Astyanax mexicanus: one gene and its partner. The protein of the gene in region 2 interacts with the protein of the main gene of each other region in a biochemical or structural test. Links are inferred from orthologs where the notes say so. Each region holds a gene or a part of one and is shown on either strand. Other genes may lie near its edges.

The links.
Region 1: of the proteins of bmp1a (region 2) and chrd, one has a biochemical effect on the other in vitro, tested with the Homo sapiens proteins (3 studies listed by BioGRID and IntAct). The link is inferred for Astyanax mexicanus from reciprocal best matches to the Homo sapiens genes BMP1 and CHRD.

What each region holds. Positions count from the first base shown.
Region 1 is NC_064425.1:10,790,384-10,807,354, forward strand, and holds the start of chrd (chordin), read right to left. Parts: upstream 7,342-16,971; 5' UTR 7,092-7,341; coding exon 6,956-7,091; intron 5,849-6,955; coding exon 5,745-5,848; intron 5,626-5,744; coding exon 5,499-5,625; intron 4,482-5,498; coding exon 4,341-4,481; intron 4,214-4,340; coding exon 4,096-4,213; intron 3,286-4,095; coding exon 3,198-3,285; intron 2,627-3,197; coding exon 2,485-2,626; intron 1,898-2,484; coding exon 1,760-1,897; intron 1,662-1,759; coding exon 1,579-1,661; intron 1,311-1,578; coding exon 1,163-1,310; intron 1-1,162. UniProt on the Homo sapiens protein: Dorsalizing factor. Key developmental protein that dorsalizes early vertebrate embryonic tissues by binding to ventralizing TGF-beta family bone morphogenetic proteins (BMPs) and sequestering them in latent complexes.
Region 2 is NC_064419.1:26,972,104-26,988,896, forward strand, and holds the start of bmp1a (bone morphogenetic protein 1a), read right to left. Parts: upstream 8,177-16,793; 5' UTR 7,953-8,176; coding exon 7,811-7,952; intron 1-7,810. UniProt on the Homo sapiens protein: Metalloprotease that plays key roles in regulating the formation of the extracellular matrix (ECM) via processing of various precursor proteins into mature functional enzymes or structural proteins.

The DNA of each region.
Region 1 (16,971 bases), on a different chromosome or scaffold from region 2:
CCCTAATCCAGAGCTTCTCTTTTTCCTGCTCGGGGCATTCTTCCATGTCCCGTCATAAGAACGAAGCCGGCCCGAGCCAAGGAAAAGCAATCAAACACCGATTAACTCATCTAGGGTCAGCCGCCGCGGTCAGGATGATGTCAGCCCCAGAGAATTATGGGACAGGGAGAGAGAGAGAATGGGGAGCAGAAGAGAATGAGGAGCGAGTAAACAGGGAGGACAGGGAGTACACAGAGCGAAAGAACAGAAAAAGACATAAACTCAGAAAACAGAGCAATTAGAGAGAGGAAGAAAAAGAGAGAGAGAAAGCAAATATAAAGAGAGAGAGAGAAATAAAGTAAAAAAAGTAATGGAGAGAGAGCGAGAGAGAGAGAGAGAGGTTTTGTTTGAATTCTCCCCTCATAACGTCAGGTTGTTAATCACGAGCTTGGAACAGTGCAGAGAGAAGAGGGCCAGCAGCCTGCGACCTTGGCAGAACCTGCCAGTGTATGTGTGTGTGTATATGTGTGTGTATATGTGTGTGTATGTGTGTGTGTATGTGAATGTGAATATGTGTGTGTGTGTGTGTGTGTGTGTGTGTATGCAGGGGCAGGATGCACAAACACACATGAGAAAGTGCTTGGGTTTTTTGTGGAACAGACGCAGTAATTACAGCAACCTGACAGGAAATTTACGACAGCAGAGACCTGCAGCCTTCAACTCTTCGCCCTCAACTTTTCAACCCCCGATTTGTTGGAGCAGAAGGGTCCGCCTCAGGGATTCACATCAGACTATACACACTGTTACAATGGGTTGACAGACTGGCTGGGGGACTGATGGAGTGACTGGCTGACTGCTTGCTTGGTTGACTGCCTGACTGGTGGACTGACTGAACCCCTGGTTGACTGCCTGACTACTTAATGAATGCTTGACTGAGTGACTGGTTGACTGCCTGTCTGACTAGTTGCCTGATTGTCTGGTTGACTGACTGCTAGACTGACTGGTTGACTGACTGAATGGCTGGTTGACTGCCTGCCTGGCTTGATTGCCTGACTGACTGGTTCAATGACTGCTAGACTGACTGGTTGACTGGTTGACTGCTTAATAACTCTCTGGTTGATTGCCTGACTGACTAGATTCCAGACTGACTGGTTCACTGACTGCATGGCTGCTGGACACTTACTGTCACATGACTTCCTCCCAGTGATGTAGCCGGAGATGCGGTGGGCGTTGTGACCCTCGGTCTCCACAACGATCTGCAGCTGCCCCCGAGAGAGCCAGAAGAGCTCACGGCTGTTCAGATCGGTCAGGACCTCAGCAAAGTCGGGGTCCTAGAACACACACAGACACACACAGAAGATTAGAACGTATGTACACACGTGTGTCAAGCTCTATAGATCGTCTGGAATTCTGAGGGCCGACGGAAAACTAACAGAAAGAAAGACTCACACTAAAACTCAAACTCGCCCACCCACACACACTTTTATATATATATTTTTTCAGGAGAGCCAAGAAAGTTGGTGAGGGAACAAAGAGTCTGAGATTTACAGAGGAAGATGGGATGTGTGTATGAGTGTGTGTGTGTGTTTGTGTACTCACTTGAGCCGTAACATTGGCGTGTATCTCTCTGAGGGAATGCTGGCGATACTGCAGCTTCACTCGGATCGGCACCAGAGGAGACGCTAAAGGAGAAATGCAGGTAACAGATATTAATATAAATATAAATCAACCAAAAGAAAGCAGATGCTTTGTGTGTGTACAGTATGTGTGTGAGACTCACCTTTCTCCGTAGGTGGAATGATTCCCTGCATGAGCAGGATAAAGTGCAAGTTGTTTTCGGTGTCGCTCAACGTCAGCATGGCGATTCCTCCCATTCCGGAGTTTTCCTCGTCCGACGTCAGAGTGGCGCTAAACGTTTCTGCAAGAAGAGTTACCCAACAATTTTACTGCTAATGTGTAGTTAAGCAAAAAAAAAAAAACAATGTATGTTTAACTGTTGATGACACACTATAGTTAATTAGGGCTGAAACGATTAGATATAAAATCCATATAATTAATGTTGATTATTGAAATTGTTGGAACTACAGATTTCACTGTCAACTAATCGTTAATTTGTTACCCATGGGAGATGGGTAATGGGTGATGTTTAAACAACATCTTTTAGAAATGAAAGACAAGCAAGAAATAATCTTTGACTAATTGACCAATCAGATTAGTCGACTACCAAAATAATCATTAATTGCAGCCCTATATCCAATCTCTGTAGATTAATGAAAATGTTGGCTAGATAAGTAGAAAGCTTCCCAGCATTGAGCTTTTAAACTGTGGAGCTTGATGAATGGATGGACGGATGAATGGATGGATGGATGGTGCTCCATCAAAAAATCTTAGGATTGGGATAAAAAAAAAACTAAAGTTATCCAACTAAAGCATTGAAATTCCCTTGATTTTAGCAACAGAAACAATGGATGACCAAACATCTCAACAATAAGGCCAGTTCTGTACCTGCAAACAGTGCTCTGTGTTTGATGATCTTCCCCTGGATCTCCTCCCTCCTTCCATCCGTGGCTACAATGGAGACCCGGAGCTGCTCCTCCTGCAGTTGCCGCATGTGGGACTTGGGCAGGTTCCTCCAAACACCGCAAATCTACACACAAACACACACACAGCATATAAACATTCAGTATAGGTACTGAAGTACTGAATAATATTAAGCTCATAGCTTAAGAAGAAGTTGAAGCTAAACTAGCTAAGTTGCTGCTAAACTGCCTTTTATGGATACTTGTTCAACAACAGTGAGTGTGAATTAGTGTGTGTATGTGTGTGTGTGTTAGTGTGTGCATATTAGTGTGTGTGTGAGCATATTTGTCATCTCCAGAAGAGCCTCTCTGGCGATTTGTGTCTGAACAGGAACGCTTAAACAAATATTTAGTGGCGCAAACACTTCGTAACTCAGGGAGCCGGCGATTCGGCTGCTCTTTAGCGCCGGTGCTAACGTTAGCTTTAGCATTCCCAATGCCACTGACCTCATGACACAAACATCTAGAAACACACACACACAGACTGAAACACACACACTGAAACACACACTGAAACGCACACTGTGCTGCTGGCTGTGTTTGGATAGCATAGGAATTATACTGTGAAAGCATTGGGAGGAGATTTACACCATTATACACACACACATATACACACACACTGAAGCGTTCTTTCCTTACCATTTCTGACTCTGCATGAGGAACTCTGAACTCGAAAGCTGTGTTTCCCTCGGAGTCCAGAAACAAGATAGTGCTTGGCCTGTTAATCCTGAAATGACAATAACAGAATAAAGTTTATATATTTTCCTATATATAACTTTTGTACTCTTACAGTGCCTATTACAATGTATTAAAGTACTTGCTTTCATAAAACATCAGTAACAAATGTGAATTGTATAGTAAATGTATAATTTAACCCGCTATAGCATTATTATATATTTTTCAGGAGGAAATATAAATCTAAATCAAATATATTTTTTCATTTGAACTTTTTATAACGCAACCATAATAATAAGCCAATAAACAGCCAAACACCAGTACTTCTGTACTTCTTTACATATTCTAGCACATAGATACCTAAACATGCATGCATATTTTTATTTATGATTTTATCTCATTGTATTAGACGTAAACATACATAAGATTATTTTAAAATAAATAAACTAATAAATAAATACATTAGAAATAGGTATGTTATTGTATGATTCTTGAGGGCAAAAATGTGTCATAAAGAGTTAATGGTTTTCTAAGTATTATGGTGTATACTATATTCTAATAGAGTATACTATATACTGTATCAGAATATTTTACATTTATTACATTTTATATCATTTTGCCATTATGGCACTCTTATGGTGAAGCACAGCATTCAGTCACCCAGACTGGAAATTTAACCCCAGTCTCCTTCATTATGTGGTAGCTCACTAGCAGGTAGTGGTGTTATCCACTGCTCCACACCAGAATATTAGCTATTCATTATTTCATATCTGTGAAAAACTATGACTATGTGTGAGGTTTGTGTGTTTGTGTATATGTGGTTGGTTGGTTGGTTGGTTGGTTGTGTGTGTATGTTAGCTACCTCTGGTAGGTAATGGAAAAAGCCAGGCTGGTTTTGGTGAGTGTGAAGCGAGCGCGGGCGACTCCGCTGGAACTGGGCAGCCACAGGTCCGTCACACCCGTCAGCAAGGCCACGAAATCTACAGAAACAAGAGAAAAAGAGATTAAAACACAGTGAAACACTGAATTAAAGATATGGGAAGCTGTATAAAGTCTAAGTCCATGTATATCGGTGTGTATATATCTGTTTCTGTCTGTCTGTCTGACCTGTCTTGCTGTCTCCGGTGTTCATCTGCTCGGAGCTGAGGTAGGACCGGTCGTTGTAAGATTTGTGAAGGTCGTCCTCTTTCTCCTGGAAGAACTCGAAGCCGTCAAACAGAGACTCTGTGGCTTTCCTGTCTGAATCACCTGCCATCAAACACACACAACATCAATCAGACTCCACACTCAATCAGCTCATCAATACACAATACAGTCCTTTATTAGCTGCTTAAATGATGATAATAATGATGATGAACAGTACTGTCTAACACTGTGTGTGTGTGGTTAATACTATATTATTGGGTATTGGATGCTGGATATATGATATTGTAGAGCTGGGCAATATAATGATACTGTATCTTATAATGATAAAATCATGATATCAACGCTGTCCAATTAAAATCTCAAAAAAAGTCTTAACCTCCAGTGAAAGTCAATGTAAAAAAAGAGTTTATTTCAGGTAACTTTGGATCATTTCTCTGGGTGCATTCCTCAAGAAAGTGTTTTCAGATTATGCCATATCGAGGATATATTGAGGATATTAAATATAATGTTTAATTGGATGAGGTGCAGAAAAATATGTAATAGAAATCACTGCAATGAAAGAGTGCTCTTTCACCATTTCTACCCATTCGTTCATTAAAAACAGAAACGAATGCAGGTGGTCTTGTGGTCTGGGGTGAATATATAAACGAGTATGTGAGTGTGTGAAAGCACTTTCAGAAATTATAGCACTCCATCCATCTTTCATTTACTCCTTCATCCATCCATCCATCCATCCATCCATCCATCCATCCATCTATCCATCTCAAGCTACAGCCAGGGATTTTCCAACAGGCTCACGCAAACACACACACACACATACACACACTTTCCCACAGAAACATAAACACTGTGTGTGTCAGGGCCTCCCAAACACTCCACTCTCTTTCCATTCATTCAGTTTCACCAGCTGAAGGAAAACATACAATTACTCAGGTGTGTGTGTGTGTGTGTGTGTAAGGGAAAGTTTGCGAGGGTGCATGTTTGCAGGTGTGTGTATGGGTGTGTTTTAGAGTATACACTGTGTATATATATATATATATATATATATATATATATATATATATATATATATATATATATATATATATATTTCTAAGTGAGAGGGTGTGTGTTGGGTACCTTTAGGGCATGTTTTGCAGCAGTGTCCCGGCAGCAGGACGGGGTCGTCACAGCTGGGCTCGGGGCAGTCCTGCTTTATGTTCTTGCAGCTGACTTTCCCAAACACCTTCCCACGTCGGCTCCTCTGCTGCTCACACACACACACAGAGTATATTAATTCATTAGTATCAGGACTCTAACCTGCCGGAACTACTTTCTGTTTATCAGGAGATAAAATCAACAGTGAGGTGCATAAGTGGGACTTACTGGTTCGCAGTGACACATCACACAGTGCATCACACCGAAAGGATCTCCGAGATCCGGATGCCACATATCCTCCAGAGAGTAAAACCTCCCACCAAACGAGCATCCTGCACAATAAGAGAAAGAGAGAGAGAGAGAGAGAGAGAGAGAGAGAGAGTATTATATTGAGGAACAATGATCATTTCATCATTTCATACAGGCCTACTATAAATTGTGACTTTCCGCATCTGGAAGTTCAATATACAGATTTGAAAGAGTAAAGAGTTGAAGTAAAGAGTGGGATAAGTAGGTGCAGCACAGCCTCCTAGAGAAGAACCCCACTAAGATAGAAATACAAGCACAAGAAAAAGACTATGTGAAATTATCCCTGTATTGGAATTCCATGCAAAAAGATAATGTCTGTGTGTGTTTTCATTTTTTGGTTTTTATCTCTTTGTGGGAACTTAAGTGTGTATAGGCTTTTGTACAAGGGGAAAGAGGGGGTTAAAACGAACAAGGGTATGACTAAAATGTTTTCTGACTGGTTTGATTAAAATGACAAAAAGTAAGATTTGGAAGAGATTAGAGACGGCTGGAGGGGATGTGTGTGTGTGTGTGTGTGTGTGTGTGTGTTAGTGTGTGTGGTTACAGGCATCTGGAATGGTGTCAGAAAGCCCCTCAGCTACAACTAACAGACTCATAGAAAGATAGAGAGAGAGAGACGTCCAGGAGCGGGTCAGGGAGAGACTGACCTCCAGAGCTGAAACTGGAGACTTGTCAGGGCCAGTATTTGATTGAATTAGGACACACACTCAAACTCAGTGATGCTAAAACACACACATACATATAGACGGTTCTGTTTGTATTCCTATCTTTGTGAGACAATTCCAATTCTATTTGCTTAAATGCAGTTCCTTATAAAGTTAAACTTAAACCCTTACTAAAAAAACAACACTATCTTTACCCACTCACTTTTACTCCAACATAATAAAACTAACTTATTGACTGGCATCACAGTCTTTGTGTTTACATTTATACTTTTGTGGGGTATAGTAAATCCAATTAATAGATATGTAGAAATGTTGTGCTGCATCTAAGTCATTCCTTACTTAAAATGAATTTATCATTATATCACATGGTTTTGCAACATTCTGGGGACCTCAGATAGTTTCAGGTCCCCACAATGTGCTAAATACTAAACATACACACACGAACACACACAGACATTGCCGTACCGGACACTCCTTTGGAAGGCAGCGGTTCTCTCTCGGACTGGATGGGAAGCGCAGGCGCCTTGGCTCGGGAAGCGAGTGCGAGTGTGTGCGGGCTGAATAACACACACACCGCGGCAAGCAGCGGCAGGACATCCATCCTCGAGGTGGAGATAAAGAAGGAGGAGAAGAAGCGAAGGAATAGAAGCGCACTCGTCCTTTTCTTCCCTCTGTTTTTATCTTTGTGTTTTCAGTAAGTCCGTCTCTTCGTGTAGATCCAGCAGCAGCAGCAGCAGAAGTCCAGCTGATGTATCGTGAGAAGCGGCGTCTGCCTCAGTAAAGCTGGAGGAGAGTTTGTGAGAGTGCAGTGTGTAAGAGAGTGTGTATGTGTGTGTTAGTCTGAGTTGAGAGTTGTGATAACTCTGCGCGAGCGCCTGTCGGTTTTATACACGGGCGAAACGAGAGGGGAGGGGAAACGGGAGTGGGGGGAGAGGGGGGGGGGCGGTCTGGACCGGGGGGCGTGGGTTTACCTGTGGTGTGAATGTGTGTAGTTTAAGTGTGTGTTTATGTGTAAGTGTGTGTTTGATAGGTTAAGACAGGTTAAAAAATTAATAAATGTTAAAATAAATAGTAATTAAAAATTGCAATGCAAGTACCATATTAAGCCTTAAGTATTTATCACTTTGTGGGGACCTCATAGTAGAAATCTGTATAGGTTGACATTGTGGGGACCTGTGTATTTTATATATCATTATATCATCATTTAAAAAAGAGTCTAAACTGACTATACAGTTATTGGCATAAGGAAATGCCATATAAAGGTAGGAATACACAAACACATAAGCAAATGTATGTGTGTTTGTGCGTTACATATATATATATATATATATATATATATATATATATATATATATATATATATATATATATATATATATATATATATATATATATTTAGAATTGTTAGCATAACACCTTTTACACACACTCACATCTGTGCAATTTTTGTTTTAGCATCTCTAGGCTAATTGCTATGCTGTTAGCATAAGGAAATGTCCCATAAAGATAGGAATACACACTGGTGTGTGTTTGTGTGTTAGCATCACAGAGAGAGAGAGAGAGAGAGAAAGAGAGGGAGATGGAGGGGGAGGTTGAGATGAGGATTGGGTTAGCTAGGTGCAGCACCTCCTCATACAGAAGAACCCAACTAAAATAGAAATACAAATACACAGAAAAGACTGTGTGGAATTATCCCTAAATTAGAATACCATAGGAAAAGATCATGTCTGTGTGTTTTTATCTCTTTGTGGGGACTAAATAATAAAACAGTGGTAAAAGGGTGACAGGGTTACAGAATCAACCTGATTTTACACACAGATATGTGTGTATTCCTTTGTTTGTCTTTGTTCGGCTGACAGTGGCATTTGCACATTTGCATGCATTCAGTACAAGGAAATGGCCCAGAATTTCAGAAATACACACTAATGTGTGTTTGTGTGTGTGAAGTTAAGGTAAGCACATATGTGTGAATGCTGTTGTGCTACATATCTAACCCAATTCCACATATATACATACATACATATATACACAAACACACATAAGTGTGTATTCCTGTCTTTGTTTGGCTAACAGTGGTGTTGATGTGCAGTTAGCATAAGGAAATGGCCCACAAAGACAGAAATACATTCCAATATGTGTGTGTGTGTTCAGTCTAGAGTCAGGTTAGCAGTGTGTTCCATCTATCCTGCATGCTAATTTAGTTAAAGTGATGCTGACTTATGGTTAGCATATGAAACTGTCCAACAAAGACAGAAATACACACTAGCCACCTTTAGGCTTTAGTCTGTGTAGGGTAAATTTGGCTAACAGCTGTGTTGGAATGTAGTTAGCACATGGAAATACCCTCAAATACAGTAATACACACACTAGCTATGTGCTAACCAGAAAGAGAGAGCTTGGCTTTAGTGTGTGTAGGCTAATTCTGTCTCACATTGGCATTGTGTTTAGGAGTTAGCATTAGGAAATGTCCCATAAAGCTATGAATACATGCTACTGTGAGACATTTAGGAAGTATTAACACACTTATCTGTGTGTTTGTGTGTTAGCATTACTAGGCTTTGTGGTGTATTAGCTAATGGTGTCACTGACATTGCATTTGGCAGGTAACATTTACAGGAAATATCCCATAAAGATATGAATACATGCTGAATACATTTGCACACATATGTGTGTGTTTATTTGTGTATGTGTGTTAGCAGTGTTAGCATCTCTAGAGTTTAAGGTGTATTAGCTAATTATAGGATTTGAATTGTCTTTATCGGTTAGCATCTACAGGAAATGTCCCATAAAGGTATGAATACATGGTACTTTATGAAGCTAAGGCAGCGTTTAAACTTATCTGTGTGTTCACTTTTAAGCACTTTTTTAAGACCCAGACAAGTTGTTTTATCTTAGTTTATCTTATCAATGATTTTAATACTTCACTTCACTTGTCAGAACTCTAATTCGTATGCTGTTAACCAATGCATTGTTTGCTAAAGTTTTTGTAAAGTATACATTTACAATATCCATTTTTATACAAAACAAAATTAATTTTTTTATTTTATTTTTTTTTTTACTTTTTTTCTACACTGGATTTTTTTTTTACCATTTTCTGTAACAAACTGACTGGACCTGAAGATGGGGATGAATAGGGGTGTTCTAAAACTTTTGGCTGGTACTGTATATGTGTGTTTGATAGCATCATTGGGCTTTAATGTGTATAGGCTAGTTATAGCATAACTACAACAGCATCCTTGGATTTCAGGTGGCTAATGTGGAATGTGCTGTCCCACAAAGGCAGGAATACATGCGCTGGTGTGTGTGTGTGTCCTGGATGTTTATTTAGGCCTTACACTCTGTAAGACACTTCAAGTGATTTAGCAGAAACAAATAAAGATGGTTTGAATACCTCCAAAATCCAGAAGCACCTCACACTCATCCCCCCCCCCACTGGCATCCCTCCATCCACCCCTCTAACTCCCTCTTTCCCCCCCTCCTGTTTTAGGACACTTTCCCAGCAGACACTCAGTCATATTTACTGCTGTTCTCTAAACCTGGATCTTCACACCGCAGGTCTGGACCCTCCTCGCTCCTCATCAGTCAGCTCTAACTGTAAAAACACACCTCAGAGATCTTCTCAGAGACCCCCAGAGCTCTGGGACGAACCTAACGAACCCAAAGCGATACTTCGGTACAGATTGCCTTCCGTTTAAACCGATAAAATAATAATGCGGTATTCTTTCAACGCATTACCGCTAAAACCCGACTGCTATTTGATTTTTATTCCGAAAGGAACCTTAGAAGCGCCTTTTTAAAAATAAAACTAAAAAACACCTGTGACCCTGTGATGATAAAAGGGCTCATCAGAATCTTTTATCCTTTAATATTGTCTTTAAGAGTTGATTATTAACCCAGAACAAAGAACCGGTCAATGTTTTAAATAACTGCGACTTTAACATCCAAACGCAAACCGATTTAGATCAATCACATCATAATGTGAACTCATTAAAGAGCCGCAAAATGACTTTCGGACATCAATCAGAACATCAACGAACAGTTTCCCTCTCTTTCATTTCGCTCCTTTGTCTTTTGTTCTCCTTTCATTTATGAGTTATTTTAATTTCCTTCCTAATGATTATAGCGTTTTGTTAGTTGCTTTCAATGCCATTTAATTCTACTATTTAAATTTTTTGCTTTGTATATTTACTATTTATCTAATCAATTAGATAAACATAATACGTTTTGTTAAATATATCAGCTTATTTGCTTTTTTTTTACCATAACACCTTTATGTTTAAAAAATATTGTAATTAATTTGTTTTAATCATTGTGTTATTTTTTTATTATGTTTTCATTTATTTTTTTTGTATACATTTTATTTTTTTCAATAGTCATTTTAATAAATGTATTCTACTTTAAACATAATTCTACTTTAAATGAAATAAATACATATTCTGCATTTTATTTTTTGTAAAATAGCTTTTAACTATTTTTTATTTTACCATTGGTAAATATATGTCCATGATATATTTAGCTAATTCTGGTTTGTCTATTTTTAAAATTCATTTCTTCAAAACCTTAATTCGATTTCTTTTAACAATTTTAATTGGTAGTTTTAAAAAGTTTAGATTTGCTACATTTTAGCATTTTATTGATTTAAATGGCGTTTAGTTAAGTATTTAATTGCTTAGTTAAGTACTAAATAATAATTTCTAAAATAAATCTTATTATATATCTATATTTTATTATCCTTATTATCTTAATTTAATTTTATGTTATTTCAGTCAGTCTCAAATAATAATAATAATAATAATAATAATAATAATAATAATAATAATAATAATAATAATAATAATAATAAAAGTTATTATTTAACTGATGGGGGGTTATATCGTGTTGCCTGGTTTCAGTGTGGGTTTCTCTCTGCGGGTGGGGGCGGCAATTTCCCGCTCAGGAAGAGAGTGAGAGAGGGGTAAATAAGGTCGGACTAACGGGGTAATAGAACCATAAAATAAAAATAACAGCGTAATAAAGACCCGGGGAGCTCGGGCGGAGGGAGCGCCTCATTCCGGACCTCCACCCCGCTCACCATGCACATGCTAAAGAGGGCAGAATGGGGGCACAAGAGAGAGGAAACGGGCAATAGAACACTGACTGGGGTGGGGAGGGGGCAGGTGGGGTGAATTGGAAAGAGAAAAGAGAAAATAGAAAAGACGAGCTTGTTCTCTACCTGTAGGAGGTAAAACTACAAAGAGTGCGGGGAGAGTGAGTGGATGAGTGGAGTGGGGTTTTCTTCTGAGACTGAGGCTTCCCAAAACTGAAGAACGTTGAGCAAACGTTCATTCTTTCTTTTGGTTGCAACACATCTTGTAATGTTGATGATGGAAAAAAGAACAACCTTTACACATCTTTTATTCACCCTTTTTTTAAACATTGTTTGTTGATGCTGCATCATCTGTTGATGTTAATGAAATTCGGACATTGAATCAATGTTCATTTAAAGGTTTTAAATGATTTGGTTGAATCTGCTCTGAATCTGCTTTCAAATTAGTTAATGCGTTTAGGTAAAACGTGCTTTTCACATATAATAATATTAGCAAATATTAATCATTATTATTTAGTTAAAAATCCCTTACTACACTCTAAGAACAACACAATGCAGGCTATACGAATAGAATACAATCAGGACATATTTAATGTGTGATTTTTATACAAGTTTTATACAAACCGTACAGTAGAGTTAAACTTTTTTCTTGATTTTTTTAATTTAATTTATGCATTTAGATTAATATTCAAGATAAAAACAATTAAGGGATACATATGGAATTACATAGTAAACAGAAAAAAAATGTATTAGTCCTCCACATTAATCCCCTGATCTAAACCTGATGAACTGAGATGGTGATTTGAGGTGATTTGGATGAGCTGGAGCTTCACAGCGTGAAGGAAAGCAGCAACTGTTGTTCAGCACCTCCAGAAACACCTTCAAGATGCTGAGAAAACTATTCCAGATGACTCTTCCTCATGAAGACACTTAGATTAAAATACCAAAAGTATGCAGATATGTCCTCAAAGATAAATGCGGTACTTAGAATAATCCAAAGTATAAAACCTTCTGGTTTGTTTATGACTTACTGATGGCAAAATGTATATACATCTTTCATATTATTGTACCATAATTTTAAATCAATGTAAAATCTTTGTGCACAAAGAAATAAATTCTGTCGTCGGAGATCAACCTTGTTTGAATGCATTAAAAATAAACGTTGATTTAACATAGTTCTTGTGTTGTCTGGGTTTCTTTAAATAAATCTGAGGGAAGCAATAGAGATTGATGGAGAGACATAGACATAGAGTGAGAGAATGTAAGAGAGAGAGAAGGTGAGAGGAACTGGTATCCATGGCCTAGTTAACAAAGGAAAGCAGAAATGGCGTTAATTTCCTATTAATATCCATTAATACAGATTAGCGCTGAGGAAATGTGGAGGAAATTGGGTGTGCCACTGGGCGCGTGGTGGCGTGAATGGGGGGCTTTTAGGGTGGTCTGAAAGGGGGTATTCAATGGGGTAGTTTTCTCACGGCCTCTTACTGACTTCTTGCACCCAGAAGAGCTGCTAATGTCGGCGAACAAACGGTTTAACAGCACCTTAACGATGTTAATCGACATGCGAGACGGACCAGACTTTATTCCCACACCACAATATACTTTGGGTTACCTTGGGGAGAATGTTCAGGATTGAGAAAACGTTTTACGTTGTTTTTTACATGCCTTATCTTTCGAGCCTTTAAAGCCATTTAAAAGCACGATGATGCTGAACCAACGTTTACGTTTTAATCGCTAATGCATTTGAACAACTTTGATCTCCGACTTAGAATTGATTTATATGTGCCCATCGGTATTGTTTCATGCGTGTGGTTTGTAATAAACTTTACTTACATTAAATATTCTATTATTATAGCCTGTACTGTGTGGTCTTGCAGTGTATTTAGCGACATTTAGCTAAATAATTAATAAAAACTAAAACCCTAAAACATTTATGTAAGTGTAGATTTAGAGCCCAGCCCAACCATTCAAAATCTTTACATAAACATAGATTAAATGTTAGAATTCCAACATTGACCTATGATTCCTGTTAGGCAATATCAAATGATGAAGGTTGTTTAAATGTTGTTTTTCCATCATCAACCTTACAAGTTGTAATGCATCAAAAAAACAAGGAACGTTTCTTCAATGTTTTTTGTTTTAGGGACATTAAATATGTAAACGCTAAACGCTTAGCTCTTTAACTAATGTAGCTAACTATCCAGGTAGCAAAATGATGATCAATCAACGTTGATCTCAGACATTTGAATGTATTTTCTTGTATAGAACTTTACCAACATTACCAACATATGTATATCTTTTTTTCTATTCTATTCGATTTAGTTTTGCACTGTGTTGGCCTTGCGGTGTATATAAGGACAAATAAATAATAATTATAAAAAATGCTTAGCCCAATCACTCAAATCCTTTAAATGAAAGTTGATTCAACGTCAGAATTTCAACATTACCTGGTGATGCCTATTTGGTGATGTTGAATAAAGGTTGAAAAAAGGTTGTGTTTCAATCATCAACCTTATTAAAAGCGATGTAGCAAAAAAACACGCACGTTAATTCAATGTTCTTTGCTGTAAGGGTAGATACCTTGTAACAGGCGCACAGGAGGTGTTGAAAACGCCCTACTAAGTTAGAGAAACTAACCCTGGTGTGTGTGAGAGTTTGAGTGAGAGTGAGCGGGTGAGAGTGTGTGAGTAAGTGTGTGTATTAGCGTTTCCGAAATGAGTTAACAGTTTAGCGCGAGGATGCGCTCGGTAACGCGGGTGAGAATCAATAATGGCCTGTTAGCATTTAATCACGAGGTGCTAACCGGGTTATTATGGGCTGGCTGCTCCGCGATTCATTAAGGAAGCGGGGTGGAAGCGGTATAGGGTGAGGGAGAAAGGGAGGGGGGGGCGAGAGTGAGGAAAATTGACCCCAATTATGGTCCTATAATGAAGGTTGCCTTTTGTGTATTGCAATAATAGTTACTTCCCCTCACACCCAGTCTCTCTCTCTCTCTCTCTCTCTCTCTCAGATTTAAATCTGTCAGTATTTCTTTTAATATACTTATTAATATTTTATTTTGTCAATATTTCAGTCTCTCAATATCTCAATCTCTTAATGTTTAAATCTCTTAATATTTCAATCTGTCAATATTTCAATCTCTCAATATCTCAGGCTCTCAATATCTCAACCTTTTAATATCTCAGTCCCTCAATATCTCAATCTTTCAATATCGCAATCTCGTACTATTTCAGTTTCTCAATATCTTAATTTCCTAATATGTCAATCTCTTAATTTTTTAATCTGTCAATATCTCAGTATCGCAATATCTCAATATCTAAGTCTCTCAATATCTCAATCTCTTAAGATTTCAGTCTCCCAATCTCCTAATATTTCAATCTCTTAATATTTCAATCTGTCAATATTTCAATCTATTAATTTCTCAATATCTCAATCTCAACATTTCAATCTCTTAATCTCTCAATATCTCAATCTCTCAATATCTCAATCTGAAAACCTCAGTCTCTCTCTCTCTCTCTCTCTCTCTCTCTCTCTCTCTCCCTCCCAATATCTCTCAATTACAAAAATAACAACAAATTACAATAAAAAATAAAAGCACCAACACTGAGTTTTACAAAATATATGTATAATATGCACATATAGTTTATTTATATTTATATCTTACTTACTACTGTCTATGCAGACAATACTTTACTACAAAAATAAATTAAATTTAAGTTATAAGTTATGTATTAGCTGTAGTCTTAACTGTAAAATGAATAATAAGTGTTTAAGTCAACAGCGAGGTGTGGTGAGGTTTAGTAAAGTACATTGAGGTAGGTGAATTATCCCCACTGAATTATCCCTTATTTTTCCAATTCTGTAAATTTTTGATAATTTGAGACCAGTTGTTTGAACCTGTCTGTGAAATGCTCTTGCATATTTTGCACTGTGACAGTGGCGGTTGTGTTTCTGAATGGTTTTGACACATGGCTTTTTCTGATATGATCCAGCTTTAACTTAGAATTGTGCATTACAGCATGATGAACTGTGTTTTGAAGCTTTTCTTGGCTACTGTGTGAAAATCTAAAAAAGACAAAGTATAAGAAGACAGAGAAGATTTACCCAAGTCAAGATGAGATCTGGAAAACCAAGAAAAAGTCCCACATTACTGGCAAGCACCTGCATGAAGGTTTAGATGAGTCAAAAAGGTGGTGCACTGTTTTCCAGTGCATGATTGCTTTCAGAAACACAACATTTTCAGTCATAAGAATAAAATCTTAACTGTGACGAAACTCAATGTTTGACGTGATCATAGAAAAGCTAGTGAAGGTAGAGGAGTAGTGCTGTAGATTACTAAAGCCAAAATAGAATTATTCTATTTGTCCCCATTTAGCAAACAAAGAACATTTTGGCAAAAATAAAACAATTTAAAATTTAAATTAAAGAACACCTTGCCAACTGTGAAGCATGGGGGTGGATGTATCATGTTTTGGGGAACAGCATTACATTTACAGATAACTCATTCTTATCTTTAACCACGATTATTTAAAAAAAAAAAAACATTTTCTAATGTAATTAAAAGCTGCAGTTTTAAATTTGACAGAAGTCCTGGTTCAGACAAAAAAAAATCGCACCAGGGTGTCAAAAATCCTCACTTTTCCATCATCATAGGGACATTTCTTCCCCACTGAGAGCTACTTGCATGGGTACACACACACATACATTATGTAGCCAATTACTGTACTTGTGAGGTCTTACACTGACTTCCAGTGCCAGCAGGGGTGTTATACAAGTGAGAGGGGGTGCCCCCCCATATTGAAATGAAGCAATTTCACCACCGCCACCACCCCCGTCCAATAAAAGACTAAAACCCTTAATATGTAGAATCACTTAAACAAAGAAGAAGACAATTGCCAGGGATTCAGACTATATAAAAAAATCTACTACAGATTTATTGCTGTAAAGAGATTTGTTCCACTTGTAGGGAGCAGCAGTATGAATCAGTATGAATCATTCAATAGCTATTATTAGCAGCTACTATGCTTTATTAAGTAGCTACTATAAATGATTCATTAACTGCTATAAATATACGATAAATTCTTCAGTAACCACTGTGAATTACTGGGTAGATGAAACGTTATGAAGGATTTAGTAAGTGTGACTATGAATGACTATTACAAATTGTTGAGTGACTGCTATGGTATATTAAGTAAGTATTCTTATTATTATTTCGATATCAATACAAGTTGTTCAGTAACTGCAATGAATGATTAAGTAACTTCTATAAATCAAAGAATACCTGTTCCACAGTAAAATTGTCCAGTAACCTCTATGAATTATTGAATAACCAATGAGAATTTTTCTTTAACCAATAGGAATGCACTGATGTAGGAATTCTGGGCTGATGCCAATT
Region 2 (16,793 bases):
AATTAGTGTTTTGTACTGGCCAAATTTGTTTAATCAAATAGCAGAGAAAGTACAGATTGCAGAGTAAAACACTCTTAGAGTTTAGACACAACACAAAATGAACCACTTCCTGCCCCCAATCCTTGCAAAAATCAATTGTGTTTTTTTTTATCAATATACACAATATACACACTTGTACAACAAAATTCTTCTCTTTGAAAAACCCAGTTAAGAAAGCCACAATACAGAAGTCATATAGCAGAAAGGGTTAAGAAAGGATCTCGCCCAATGACCTAAAAGGGGTAGCCAATGAAATGCAGGTATAAAACCTCAAAACCTATATACTGCAGAACTTCATATCATGTAGACAATCGCAAAGGACCCATTACTGTTCTTAATCTAGAAATGACTGATTGAGGCACTTGCAAACGATACAAAACGGTATCATACATGGCAGCTGTTTTAGTATTTTTTGCAGAAAATGAATGGACATTTGCAGGACATTAATGTAGAAATAAACTGGACATTATAGTACCACCAGTTTACTAAATCTGAATAACATCTTGCAGAGGCCACTTTTGTGTTTACGTTGGCTTTTATCATTCCTTGATCTTTCTTGTCTTCCCCTGTTGTGTTTATATTTGAGTTTCAAGACACGCAGGCCTTGTTTCAAACTGTCTGGTTCTTATTTTTCGCTACAACCATGTACAACTGTAAAGAAGCTTTGTTCATAACCATATTCCTCTGTGTGACAATTACCATTCTTTCCATTAAAAAATAAAGTGAAGAAATCTAATCAGAACAGAAAATAACTGGTGCCAGATCAGAAGTAGAAAGTCACAGCAGCTTTAAGCAGTGTAAACAGGCTGCGGCGAGCTAGCCAGGAGGACCCTGAATGACCTGCAGTCACATCAGCTGGCCGACGCCGACTCAGTCCTGCGTGCCTCAGACCGCCGGACTGGCCAGGCCTGGCACATGCTGAATGACCTACAGTCTGCAGACATCTCCTACCACCCCCACTAACCAACCTTCTCTCTCTCTCTATTTCCTCCACTTGTCTCTTTACTCACTGCCTGCTTTTTTCTTTTGAAGCCCACGTCTGGACTCACTGCCTGCCACATCACGAGAGACTGCCTTCTCCAACTGATCCAAATGCTTCTGGAACTGTTCAGACAGAGAAGAATTGAGAAGAGAACAGAACACTCTCCACTCAACTCTCCTTTTAGAGGAAGCTTCTTTTAAAACCTCAGTTGAAAACCCTCAATTGAGAGGTTCTTAAGGGAATCTAATGTTGTTTTCTTCTGCAGGGTTTAGACATTTGGTTTTTAGAAATCCAGATGTATCCAGATGAAGACTACCTAGCTTTATGGCCTAGACTTGATGTACTTGACATAGTTTTTAAATCTAGCTGTAAATCTAGTTCAATGACATTGTGATATATCACAAATCATGTTTCACTTGACTCATGTCAAGTTCGTATCAGCACAGGAAATAGTAGAACCACCTGGAACCCTTTTGGAAAAGCTTCAGTCCATTTTAAAGCTCAGAGGTGCTTCAAAAAGAAATATCAGACAAAATACAGATAATCAAAATAGTTATCAACATAAAAATGGTATCATCTTTACCACTGCAAACTGCAATGATACTTCCAATTCATGTTTACAATCAAATATATTCTGTAGAATTCATCAACCCCCCCCCCCCCCCAACCAAAAAAAAACAAACACCCAAAGTCAAACAGGAAAAGCCTTGCGGAAGCACTGGGCCATGGAAGTCATTATATCTCCCTAGAGTGAATCAGACCTACATTCTGCAGACACAAACATCTGATGGGTAAAACAAGCTAAAATGACTAGCGAGTAGCCAACTTTAAATCCATCAGCACACTCGTCAGGACCAGACCAAAGAAAAACACTCAAAGTTACTTGAGCCATAAAATAGAAAGTTGTGCTCAAATTCAATCAAACAACATTAAACTCAACATTAACACTGTGAGGAAAATAAATGATTTCAGTTTGACACTACATTACACCCGTAACATAGCATACTACAAGTGATGGACAAAACATCTCATCCATGGTAGATGTTTGCAGGACTTCAGTAAGTGCAGAATAAAACACCTACAACATTCATGTTTTGGATCATTAGTTTCTGTGGCAATTTGTTATCAGATGTGATCAGCACTTAGTCTTAGCATTACTGCCCAGGTCAGGTAATTTTTTGGTGGAATATATACATTCTGTTTGACCAGCAGAGGCAAATAATTGCTTTTGTGCTAAAGCGTGTTGAGCACCATTTCAAACTAAGTGTAAAGCAACTACTTTAAAGTTTCTGTTAATCAATTATTCTGTGTTGTTTCAATATATCATCATTCAAACATGGCACCAATTGACCACGGGGGGTGAAACACATTTCACAGTGGCTAGAAATGGAGGTATATTTGCTTTAGGTGAAAATGCAATCACTTTAATCCAACAAAGCTAGAGCTTTCTGTGTTACTTTACCATTTACGCTAATGTAACTGTGGCCTACTGTTGTTTATTTGATAAAATGTTGTACAATTAATTTCTATTAAAGCCGTATAAAGTTACAAGTGTATCCACCTTTTTGAAAACATATATTAAATTAAACAAAAAAAACCTTTTTAAAAATCTGCTCTGAAATTGTTGAAGTTGAGCATGACATTTGACCAGGTGTCCCAAAGCTAGCTTCAAAATCTAGCATTGTACTCACACTGAGTGTAGGGACACTTTTGGTGCTGTGACATTTAGCCTCAATTATAGCTAAATGTCAGCACCAACCAACCCCCAACCCACCTCCAACTCTCAGACAAAAAGCTACACTTTTCCACTCCATTTAGAAAGTTTATAACACAGTCAAACAGCAACTAACTTCCATTTTTCAGTGACTTTACAAGAGCTAATTATCCTGTCCTGTCTTTAAAGTGTTCCTCAGCTGCTTTCAAGCTTCGAAACGAACAAGATGTCACGAAATACAGCCTCAGTCTTAAGAAGTGGAGATGAGGGTTTTTAAACTAAACAAAAGCTCTGGATTCCACCCCAAACTGTGCAGCTTTGATTAGACTGTAATTAAGGTTCAACATTTGAGCTGCGTTTAGCATTCTTTAACATCTTTATCTCCTAGCCCTCCTTATCTGCCCATATATGAGCACACACTCACAGCCTCTCTCACACGCACACACACAAGCACAAAGAAGACAATGGTTTTATTTGGTGAATGCAGTTCTCCTGAGAATGACATAATGGAATTCAGCATAGAAAAAAGCCATGCTTACTTTACTATTTAATCATATTAGCTTCCCTCGCTCTCTTGCTCACGCTCTCTGGCACGCACTGTTCCTCTCTCTGTCTGTAGACTCTAACACATCAGCAGGAGGATAGCACAGCAAAACTGAAGGGTGTAAACGGGCTTCAACAGTTCTTAATGTATTTTACCCTTCCGAAGTCTGTCTAAATTGTTTGCATACACAAACAGCTCTAACAAATTTAATGAAGAACAAAACACTTTTCCATGATATTGTAAGAATGAATAAAAAACAGACACAAACATATGCTTGCTATTATTACAACTTGCTGTGTGCTCAATATAAATGTACTTCATTATAGCACTTAGCCATCCTGCATTTGAACCATGTTAAACAAAATGGTGTGGTAGTCTTTCTTAGTTTGTCATGGGGAGGAGAACCTCAACTGAATGCTAAGTGGCGATGTGTTTTTTAAGGATGGGAGCCTTTCAAGCCACAACTACAAGGTAAAATAATTACTGTATGCTGAATGTTTTTAGAAACATTCAATAGCCATTTCAGATAGTTACTAAAATGGCTGTTTGTATTGTTGATATCCTGATCCATGGTTCTCACAATAAAATCTTTTTGTGGTCAAATTTAATCCTGATTCAATACTGGAAGTCCATGAACATCTCAGGCAAGTTGTTGCTCACTAACAAAAACTGTTGGAATATCGTTTTAACAGTTCTTCTCTCACTAGTTGCATTGCCACTCTGGCAGACAGAGAGGACTGTGGGATTGTGTGATATCACTAGGTCTGCATGCATGGCACAGGCCCCGTGTGGTTTTCTGAGCATCTGGAAGAACACAAGACTGAAGAACCACATTCTGGGTGAGTGCTGCAACAGGGATTCAGGTCAAAGAGTCTTTTCCTCTCTCTGTTATTGAAACCACGCAAGGAAAGTGTGTCTGTGTGTGTTTGAGTTTGTCGGTGTGTGTGTTTGGGGGAGATGAGTACAGTTTGTGCCAGTCTGTAAGAACTGGCACAGTTTAAGGGACAGTAAGTATTGCATATAAGTGTATCTGTGCTGTCTGGAGCATTAAAGCAAACTTGAAGACAAGCCACTGTGGGGACATCTGTGGAACAGATGAAGACCGGCTGTCTTCTTTATAACGTTAATAGCATAGCTCTCGTCAGCTCTATCAGTTTAACAGATGGAAATAATTTAACTCTCTACTACTGTTATGGTAAAAGTAAAGTCCATCTGAGCACAGTCTGTGAAAAAATGTCACCCATTAGGTGTCAGTTCTCCATATAAAATGTCTTAATATATGTTGCTGTGTCTGCAGGGCTTTCACCAATACCAGTAAATCGTTGGAGCCTCAATATAAACCAATATTAATTGGCCATCCACTGTACAGTTACAGTAATACACCATATGTAGAATTATATATGTATAAGGCCAAGCCACATGAAAATGCAAGTTTAAACAGAGCCAGTCACTTAAACCACTTCAGGAAGTTCTCTGAGAAGCATTTAAACCAGGTTATAGCAGTGTAAATGCATTTGCCTCACAAAGTCGCTGGGCACATGATCCGTGTCCGAGAAAGATAATCACGGAAAACAGCAACCATCTTTAGGACCGCGCAGGAAGAGGCTAAACAAATAAAGCAGATCTGAATAATCTGTGAGCATCGCAACCCCGGTTCCTTTCATCATCATTGTAAAAAAACAGTATGTAAACTACACATGATGAGTAAAGTATTAACATTTTTTATTAACAGATTTACAAAAGCAAGATTACATTTGAATCTCACATAAAGTCTTAAAATTGAGTTCCAATGCCAAAAAAACAAGTCCTCGTTTTTCCTAAAACTGCAGGAACATTATTGCATAAACAGATCAATAAGGCTGTACAACAAACAGGAGAAAGAGAACAGTTCACTAACCCCTGAGCAGTGTATAAACACAGCATCTGTGTTCAGGACCTCATTCTAAAGTCTGTTACGCTAATAAATAAAAAAACACCAAAAAGTGTGGAAGCAAAGAACTACATACGCCATTAAAATAGTTAGTTATTTGATAATTAAATTGATAGATTTCACAAATTTCTTTACGGTTAGAAAACATTCGGAAAATGTAAATGTCCTGCCCCAATTAAAGGTTTCTCCTAAAGCTAGACATCAAGTCCACCTTTACTTTACATATTGCACAGAAAATACACTTGAACCTCTATAGGAAGCCAAACCCTGCCCTTCTTCCCCATCAGCCCCACGGAACAGTACAGATAAAAGGCTGTAATAACTTCATATTCCAACACAGCCACCCAAGAGGCCTGTTATTCCCTAATTCTCTGTTTGCTTTGTTGGTTTGAAACATAGTAAAAGAATTGGGCCACATTTGAAATCCCTTATGGCTGACATTTACTGGCCCACTGGGGTCTGGCTGCTCTAGAGCTCCCTCAGCTGTGAAATTCAGGGCTCCCTACCCCTTGCATGTGTCATCTATCTAAATCTTGTAGAGCTACTAACCGGTAATAGAGGCCTGGACAGACCTGATGATGTAAGGAGTGAAGCTGTTTGAAAGTGATGCTCCGCAAGGACTTGTTTGTTTACACTGGAAAAGAGAACAGGTCAGAAGAGCAGCAGCTGTGAGAAACTGCTCATACTACGAGTTTAACGTCAAAGAGGTCTTCCTGACTCACTTGCTGCAGTGTCTGGAAACGTGTTTATCTCTTTTACGAAACAATGACGTTAATCGTGTCTGGCGCTAAAGGGCTCCAAGCACACACCTATTTTTTCACTAACACACAAGAAATGTCCCAATTAGCAGCACACGATCACAGTGATACTGTAATTAAAACAACATAAGAAAACTGCTTAACTTCCAGTAAAATTTAGTCTAAAAAGATTTCTCACATTATATCGTTGGCAAAAGTTTTTGGACACCTTCTATCTCATTATTCTTTCTAAAATAATACATAAAGGCAGCTATCCTCAAAGTTAATGCATGAAAGATCAGCAACACCAGAGCATCAGCAGGTCAACCAGGGTAACCTGCTCGGAATACCAATACGAGCCGGTGGGCTGCGATTATTGTCCCTGAGCCACTTGTAGGGGGACTGTGCCTTTCTCAAGGGGTGAAAATGTAAAAATGAACAGCCAAGAGCTCCTTTCAGCTGCAAATTAGGACACGGGAGAAAGCCAGGCCTTGAAAGAGTGAAAAAGAGCAGGATGAAAGAGAGGGAGGGAGGGAACGAGGGGTGGGAGGAGGAGAGGAGAGGAGTTAATAGAGATGGAGGTCTAGGAGACTTCACTCGTCTCCTGAGCAGCCCTGTCAGAAAGAGCAAGGGAGGCGTATAGAGACAGACAAAGTTTTAAAGAAACTTCCCAAATCAGGGTTGTTTACAGTGATGGGGAAGAGAAGGCCTCTAAAAGCTACATTACATTAATTAAACTACATCACATGAAATTAAGCTGTTATGAATACACTGCCTGATGCCTGAGACACTGATTTATGACAGATTAGAGAATAAAAAAGTAAGTGCCCAAATGTTTTATTTATTTAAGGTTTTAATTGTGGAGGAGTTAACTCTGGGTGTTGTACAGCAAAATAGTCCCTGGAGAAAACTTGGTTCTTTGTTCAGATTTATCACTTTATCGCGATAACAACATGCACTCTAATCTTAACTATTTAATAGAACAGAAATTAGAGAAGCTCCCCTTTAAGGCCAGCCTAATTTTTACAGTTTTAAATTCTGAAAAACCCTCCCCAAATATAACTGTAGATCATATGACAGCAAAACACACCACCTCATTTCCTTACAGTGGACACAGACTTATCCCCAAAAGTTAGTCTTGAAACAATTGGACAGCTTAAAAAAACAACAAAAACCATTTCAATAACTACAAACATTAGACTAGTTCTGAGGGTTGACAAAACTGACAAAACTTATGCTTCACAGTCCAAATGTGACGTCAAGCACCTCAAGCAGGAAAGCCCATCTGCACAAACTTAAAGAGCCGGAATGCAGGAGAAAAGTGGCATTTGCATTGCAAAATCATGCAAAGCAGCGCAGTCGCCACCACAACAACAATAAACAAACAACAACAACGTGCAACGTCACTGCGTTAAAGCTTTTTAAAGTTTTATTTGTTGCTTAAGACGGTTGCACAAAGTCGACGCTGTGTTGTACTGTATTTGCACATGACAACAACAACCTCGACAACAATAACAACAGCAGCAGCAGCCGGAGCAAGAAAAGTGAACTTTCACGATCGATATGTGTTTGTTCGCTTGCTTTTTTGCACTGACTGTCTTTGTTGTTTTGTTGCACGCGCTAGGTGCACCGTACCAAGTCAAGCCAACACAGATAAGCACACAAAACAAAAAAAGTAGCGAGTCGAGCTGCGATTTTACAGCCTGTCAGTAAAAGCATTAAAGTTAGCACTCACTCCTCGCTCCAGATTTACGTGGCTGTGCACGGCGGAGGAGGAGGTAGAGAGAGGGGAGAGACAGCGAGCGAGAGAGAGAGACATTGAGAGAGCAAGCAAAAAGAGCACCGTTCGCTCAGCAGCTCTCACCTGCTTTACACGGGTCTTTGTAGTCGATGGCATCCGGTGGCTCCTCGTAGTAAGTGGGCTCGAGCGCGTCCAGCTCGACGCTGAGCAGCACGCGCAGGGCGGAGAACAGAAGCAGCAGCGCGCAGCTCGCGGCGAGATCCATGATTCAGCCGACAGAGTGGGACACACGGCGCGGGGGAGAGAGTGGAGGACTGAGAGCTGAGGGAGAGGGAGGCGGAGGAGGAGGAGGAGAGAAGGAGGGGGATTGGTTTTAGGGGGGGAAATGAGATCCGCGGGGAGGGCGGGTTCTAACAGCACGACTCTGCCTCCTCTCCGCTTCTCTCCTCTCTCTGCCTGAAGATCCTGCTCGAGCTCAGGGGCTCCGCGGCTGCAGTGACGTGACCTGCGGAGGACAGGAGAGGGATCAGAGGCAGGGGTCAACCAGACGAGCCTCACACACACACACAATCTCTTTAACCTCACCTACATAATGATAAACTCTGGATGAACTGTATTTAAGGTGGATGAACAATCAAATATGATTTATGTATGCCTGTAATGTATCTTTAGTTAAAACGTTACCAATTAAGTTAACGTCAGTTCAAATGTTTCTGGTAGTTTAGTTGTTTATTTCACTTTATCATGTTATTTATTTATCCAACTTTAAATTGGATGTTTTGGTATACAATAAAGTATAAAGAAAATAAAGTATTTTCCCCCTACAGATTCCTTTTGCTTTTGTATTTTTGTCATACAGATTATGAAACATATGTTAATATCAGACAACGATGAATGTAAATATAAAAAAATCACTTTTTAAAGGATCATTTTATTTATTAAATGAAAAAACTAATAACTTGGTTGTGCCAACCTTGGCAGCAACAACTGCTATCAGGCTTTACTAATAACTAGCAATGAGTCTTTCACATCTCTGTGGAGGAATTTTGGCCCACTTTAAGATCATGCCACAGCATCTCAATCTTCTTCAGTATTGTCCGGTAAAAAGCAGAATTTCTGGTTCTAACCATTACAGGAAGTTGTCCAGGCCCTGAAGCAGCAAACCAGTCCCAGACCATCACACTATCACCACTAGTTTTACATTCAGTTTGATGTTCTTCTTCTAAAATTATGTGTAAGTTTACGCCAGATGTAACAGGACACACACCGTCCAAAAACTGTCACGTCAGCCCAAAGGATATTTACCCAAATTCCTGGGGATAATTAAGATGTTGTTTGGCAAATGTGAAATGGGCTGTTGTGTTCTTTTTGTTCAGCAGTGTTTTTTGCTCTGAATTTTATTTGCCTTGGACATTTTTCTTATTATTGGATCATTAACGCTGACCTTAACTGAGGCCAGTGAAATCTGCATTTCTTTAAATGTTGTTCTCGCTTCTTTTGTGACCTCCTGGATGCATAGTCCATGCCTTTTTGGAATCATTTTGGTCGACCGGCCACACCTGAAAAGGTTCAATAGTGTTCCATGTTGTGTTCATTTGTGAATAATACCTATCCACTGGAGTCCCAAAGCCTTGGAAATGACTTTGTAACCTTTTTCAGATTGAAAGATGTCAATGACTTTGTTTTCTCATTTGTGTTTGAACTTCATTTATAATGTATTGCATTTTGAGATCTTTTCGCTGCTTCATGTTGTCAGACAATTTCTATTTAAGTGATTTCTTGATTCTACATGTCTGGCGGCTAATGAAATTAAACTTAGCTATCCAAAAAGTGTGATTAATGACAGTTAATTAATGGGGGGCGAACACTTTTTTTATGAAGACCTATATTGGTTTTAATAGTTTTTTCCCTTAATAAATGAAATCATAATTTAAAAAGTGCTTTTTTATATTTACTCAGGTTATAATATATTTTATTATATATTATATTAGATATTTATATTATCTAATATTATATATATATAGTTTGATAATTTGAAAAATGTAAGTATGACAAAAATGCAAAAATAAAAGAACTCTTTAAGGGAGCAAATACTTTTTCACTGTACATATTTATAAGTCCTGGGAGGCCAAATGAATGTGATCAATCAAATTACTCTTTTAATGAAGACTGTACATCTTTACATATAGAAGCTGCCAGAGAGAATCTCAGTAGACAGACATTTGCTTGCTCTCATATAACTTATATATAAATGAGAGAGAGAGAGAGAGAGTATCGGCCAGTCCACACATTGTGTGTGTTTAACTTATTTAACCTTTCATACCCCCAAAAAACATTGTCTATTCTTAAATAGAAAAGAATTACTCTGATAGCAGTTAATTATATCATGCAGTAACATTTATTTAAAGGATACGGCTTGGTTATCGTTAAATGTTTGTTAGCTAACCTGACTAGCCAACTAGGTTAACATAAACAGTTGGAAGAAAACAACGAATTTCCTCAAAAAATAAACAATAAAATGACATATTCAGCCCGCAAGAGTTATTAAGATATAACTTTTAAAGTTAAATTACAACCTGCATAGCTAGCTCTAGCGTTTTTAGCTACCTGAAACCCCTGATGTGAAGCTCCTCACCGAGGAGAAGTCTCTGAAGTGAATTGACGGTTAACGGTCAGCGCGGGAAGCGCGCGCAGTAATTTAAACAACTGTGACTGAGCTCGTGACCCGCTGCGCAGATTCGCGCTGATCTACCTCTCACTTTACCCAGTACTGTTTGTTTATCCAAGTTCAGAGACCTGCCGCCTGAATTCTGAATTTAGAGACCACCGTTTTTGAACCAGTTTCTCGGATTTTACTATTTATAGGTAGATGTTTAAGTAAAATGAACATTGTTGTTTGATTCTATAAACTACGAACAACATTTCTCCCAAATCCCAAATAAAAATATTGTCATTTAGAGCAATTATTTGCAGAAAATGAGAAATGGCTAAAATAACAAAAAGGAATTTGTTTTCTTTCCGGTAAGAGTTCAATATTTCAATATAAATCAATATTTGGTGGAATAACCCTGGTTTTTATTTCACAGTTTTCATGCATCTTGGCATGTTCTCCTCCACCAGTCTCACACTTTTTGGATAACTTTATGCCACTCCTGGTGCAAAAATTCAAGCAGTTCAGCTTGCTTTGATGGCTTGTGATCATCTATCTTCCTCTTAATTATATTCCAGAGGTTTTTAATTTGGTAAAATTAAGGTAACTCTTCATTTTTAAGTCTCTTGTCTTTTTTCCAGAGCTGTAGTTACTTGTATAGTGGAGGACATTTTCATTTAAATATCGAAGTGTTTTTGTTAGGTTTATTTTATTATAGGATTATCCACCTTAAGGTGGATGACTGTTCTCTGATAGCAAATAATATTAAATAAACACACATTTTTTGGTTGAGTTACATCTTTTAAGGTGGATGATGGAAAAAACACCCTTTATATAACATTGTCTAATAGGCATTTTGATTTAATGTTGAAATTCTGACACTAAATTAAAGATCATTTACATTACATTACATTACATTTGGCAGACGCTTTTGTCCAAAGCGACTTACAATATTGAAGTGCAAATAATAGAAGAGGTTAAGTACAAAAATAATAGAAGTTAAAAATAAAGCATCTATAGATAGGGCCTTAAGGAGGTCAGAGGGAAATAATGGGATAGAGGAGTAGAGAAGAGGAAGAAGGAGATGAGGTTAGAATTAGTTAGTTTGTTAGAGGTGTTAGGAGAGTAAGTGCTCTTTGAAGAGCTCTGTCTTCAGGAGTTTCTTAAAGATAGCGAGAGATTCTCCTGATCTGGTAGTAGAAGGTAGTTTGTTCCACCATTGGGGAACTCTGTATGAGAACAGTATGGATTGCTTTGTGTGAGTGTTTGGCAAAGCGAGGCGACGTTCATTGGAGGAGCGCAGCGGCCGGGAGGTAGCGTAAGCCTTCAGGAGCGAGTGCAGGTAGGAAGGAGCCTGTACTGTCATCACCTTGTAGGTGATTGTAAGCACTTTGTATTTGATGCGAGCAGCAACCGGTAGCCAGTGGAGCTCAATGAGCAGCGGAGTGACATGTGCCCGTTTTGGTTGGTTGAAGACCAAACGTGCTGCTGCATTCTGAATCATCTGTAGTGGTTTTACTACACAGGCCGGGAGGCCAGTTAGTACGGCATTGCAGTAGTCGAGGCGTGAGATTACCACAGCTTGTACCAGGAGTTGGGTGGCCTGTTGCGTCAGAAACGGTCAAATTTTTCCGATGTTGTAAAGCGCAAAGCGGCAGGATCGAGCAACTGAGGCCACATGGTGCGTGAAGAGAAGCTGGTCATCAACCATGACACCCAGGTTCCTAGCAACCTTTGTCGGTGAGAGAGAGAGAGAGTCGATGGTTATGGCAAAGTTGTGTTGAATAGAAGGTTTTGCTGGTATGACCAGAAGTTCAGTCTTTGAGAGGTTTAGTTGGAGGTGATGTTCCTTCATCCATGCGGATATGTCTGAGAGACACTGTGATATTCGTGCAGAGATTGAGTGATCATCTGGTGAGAACGACAGGTATAGCTGAGTGTCGTCAGCAAAGCAGTGGTAGGAAAAACCATGTGAGCGGATAACCCGACCTAGAGAGGTGGTGTATATTGAGAAGAGAAGAGGTCCCAGTACCGAACCCTGGGGAACCCCAGTGGGTAACGAGTGAAACTCCCGTCCAGAACAACCATGTATGTGTTTTCCTCAGACGTCTTCTGAGAAAATTACAGGCAGAATTACCTACTGTTTTTCACTGAACATTGTGGTCATATCTCAGAGTTTCGTCACCTCTCCTTTAATAAAATTTTCCACTGCCATGGTGCATGTTTCCACGGAGATTCACTTAAACACAACAGTGGAAATGGAGAAGCTACTGATGTCATGTGACCGACAAAGCCAAACAAGTCACTCGTCCTCCTTTTTTTTCAGTTGCAGTCCAGATGCAATAGTTTTATTACTGAGTAGAATTGTGAAATATTTTTCACAGCCATCCCCCTGAGAGACTAATCCCATCCAGATAGGGCTAAAGACATACTGTAACCTATGCAAAGGCAGCTCTATTTGGAACATCCTGTATTTATCATAAACAAGTAATTTACATATATTTACATATTTACATATACACACCTACTCAGCCTATAACCCAGTTTATACAGTGCCTTGCAAAAGTATTCAGCCCCCTTGAACTTTTCACATTTCACATTTCAGGCTTTAAACCTAAAGATATGGAATTGTAATTTTTTGTGAAAGTCCATACCTGAATCCAATCGAGAATCTGTGGAAAAAGCTGAAAACTGCTGTTCACAAATGCAAAAGGTGGCACTACAACGTTTTAACGCAAGTTTTTTTTTTTTCTAAAAAAAAGTTTAAAATATCCAATATATTTCGTTCCACTTTGCGATTGTGGCCCACTTGTTGTTGATTCTTTCCAAAAAAAAAAATACAATTTCATATCTTTATGTTTGAGGACTGAAATGTGGCAAAAGGTTGAAAAGGTCAAGGGGGGCGAATACTTTTGCAAGGCACTGTAGCAGGATAAAAAGAGGGTTTTAGCCTGACCTGTTTTTGAAAAAGGTAAAGTTCACTGCAACCAATCAGACAAAAGCTAATTTACATACCAAAGTTTTTTGGGATTCATGATTTATGATGTAAAATTAGTTCTGGCACATAAACTCAACACAATCTGGCATAAATGTTGTAAATGGACATCATGAGAAGAGGAACTTAGCATAAAAATATTTTTTTGTTTGTTTTGTTTTATAGTTAGAAACTTAGTAACACACAGCTGATAGTGCTTTATATTACAGACCCCATGAACAATCATGTTTAGTAGTTTAATGAACTTTAATGAAGGCTTTCCCTAAGAGAAGCATGTTACCAGAGAAATTGTATTCTCTAGAAAAATTGTATTCGTGTACAATTTGGCAAACAATGAGAAGAGGCACACAAAGTCAATGCTAAACTGGGCCTGAATAGAATGCATAATGTGGCGCCACACCCCAAAACCAGCAGATATTCTGCTCACTTTCTTGAGCACTTTTTAATGTATGAGTATCGTTAGAGTGCCACCAGGGTGATTAGTATGCAGAGCAATAGTAGACCCCTATTGATCCGCTGACAGATCTGCCGGAGTGTGTGATATTGATGTTCTTGTACACTATCTGAGCGCATAGCTACAGCTTTGTGTTCATAGCATTAATCGATGCTGCGATGCTGTGTGAAATTAGTCTGTATGCGTCCGAAGTCGATGCTCTTTTACGGAGTGCTCGGGCTAGAAGGAGTGATGTGAGCTTGTGAATTGCACAACATGTTCTGTATTCTCACATAACATCGACATGTGCAAACAAAGCACTAATTCCTACTCTTTATAGTTAATGTGGATCATCTTTTAGGCCTATATCTTTTCTTCTCAGAGACAAACCGTATTATTCTCTTCTTTTTACAAAAATAAAAATGGTTTAAACCTTATTAAATCAGTTTTGACTAATTTATATATATATATTATAGGCCAGATCTTTATGTAAAATATGACCTAAATAACTCCCACACACCCATTATTGAATGTATTCAGCTCCTGATTCAACCATTAAACTGCACATGGTTGGGTTAATTTTCTTTGTACCTAGTCTAAAAAGTTTAAATAAATAAATTAACCTCAACCACTGTTGTCACTTCCTCTAGGGAAAAATATGGCATTGACATATGTAATGTTCTCAGTATTTTTGTATAATATGTTGAGAATAACTTAATTGTATTTGTATCTGTAGTTTTTTGCAGTTTACATATACCAAGCTGACGACGAGTCTCATACAGAGTTTCCCAACGGTGGAACAAACTACCTTCCAGTACCAGATCAGCAAAATCCCTCGCTACATTTTACAAAGTCCTGAAGACAGAGCTCTTCAAAGAGCACTTACTCTACTAACACCTCTAACACACTAACTACTTCTAACCCCATTTCAGTTCTTCCCCTCCTTTCCTACTCTAACCCATTATTTTCCTAAAAATATTTTTGTCTTGAACTTCGATGTCCTCTATTGCTAATGTATATCATTATTTGTAAGTCGCTGTGATTGAAAGTATCCACTAAACGTAATGTAATGTAATGTAATATAATGAGTCAAATTCACCTACCTCTAGTCCTACAGTGGGCCAAATACAACAGAAAGGAGGTTGACAGACACTATGTTTAAATGGTTTAAGCCCAATATAAGCAATTTATTGTACTGTCTTTAATTGCACTTAAGTATTTATTTACCGTTATTTAGAGAGTATATTGTCAGTTATATAAATTGTAGACAACATCCGACTGAATGTAGTAGTTAAGCAGTTGCTGTTTGTATACATTTCTAGTAATTTTCTGAATCAGCTTAACTCTGAATCATAGTAAACTTGTGAAATTACACAAATTTCAAAGAGATCCACTTTGCCAAACCGCTTCCAGCTGCTTTCTGTTTAGCTCACAATTCAGATGTCAGAGCTGGGATTGACATAACAAGTTGGTGGCATTCCAGCATTTCATTATTTTAACACTATTTAAAAACATTCCCAAAAAGTACAGTTAACTAAAGAGTTTAGAACAAATGATATGACAGACATTAGCAGTGTATTGGAGAATCCAACCAAAATATGTCCTGTTTTTATCCAAACACTATGAAAACATATCCACAGATAGAAGTTGGACAATACAATGCATGTTTCTGGATTAATAAGACACAGATAGAAGTACTAAAACTATAATACTGAAGCTTTTCTACTGTTGATGTGTGGTCAGGGCCTTCTCAAAGCATTTGGGTGCCCCAAAGCAACCTCTTTTATTTTTGTTCACATTTTTATTCATGAGCATGTGGTACCTTGTGTTGTAGAAGTATCATTAAAGCTGAAAAAATGGTGCAGACTCAATTTGTGTTGATTTTGAGGCCATGATACCACTAGATACAGTTTCTCAGAAAATTATCTCAGAAAATTGAAATATTATATAAGACCAATTGATACTTTTGGCAGTGTGGGCAGTGTGCCAGGTCCTGCTGGAAAATGAAATCTGCATCTCCATAAAAGTTGTCAGCAAAGGGAAGCATGAAGTGCTGTAAGATTTTGTGGGAAACACTGCACTGACTTTAGACTTGATATAACACAGTGGACCAACAGCAGCAGATAACATGACTCTCCAAACCATCACTCATCATCAGTAAAACTTGCATTCAATTTGTAAATTAAGGGACAAGAGTCTGTAGGAAAAGTGGGGAGACACACAGTTCAAGCTGCTTGAGGTCTAGTGTGAAATTTCCACAATCAGTGGTTTGAAAAGCCATGTCATCTGCTGGTGTTGGTCCACTGTGTTATATCAAGTCAAGATTTTACAGCACTTTTTGCTTTCCTCTGCTGACAACTTTTATGGAGATGTGGATTATAAATGTCCTTCCAACTTTGGGAGAAAATGTAGGAGAAATTTAATGCTCAGTTTGTGCCATCCATATCATTATCACTGTCACAAATCACTGAATTAAAAAAAAATTACAGAAGTGAGGGTAATTTTTTAAAATATTTTTTTATAGTTTTTACATTTTAAATGGAAGTCAATGTGTGTTATAATAAACTGAAGCAAGTAAATGATTCTATATGTTATATAATGAGTCTGAATACATATTACAAGTCACATTTTTACCAACCTCTGCACTATTTACACACTTGTACAAATATTGATCAGGTCATTGAACCCCTGTGTAATCATTTATGATGTGAATTTCGTTTTGCTGTTGCTCACTGGAATTAGATCTTGATACGTGGCATTAAAAGCATGATCACAGTGGTGTCAGACAGGCAGGGTGTTTTATTAGCCGAGTCTTCATTACCTCAGCCGCTCTGAGGCCACGCTGGTCCTGTTATCTCATCAGGGTGAAAAGTTCAAAGGTTAAGTCCCGCAGTGACCTCAACCGAATGAGACGTGACCTGTAGACCTGGTCTGAAAGTGATTATGTCTGCAGCGTGTTGCCAAGGACAGACCAATATCCCAGCATACCTAAACTCAAACAGATCTGCTCTAAAACTCGAACACAGCC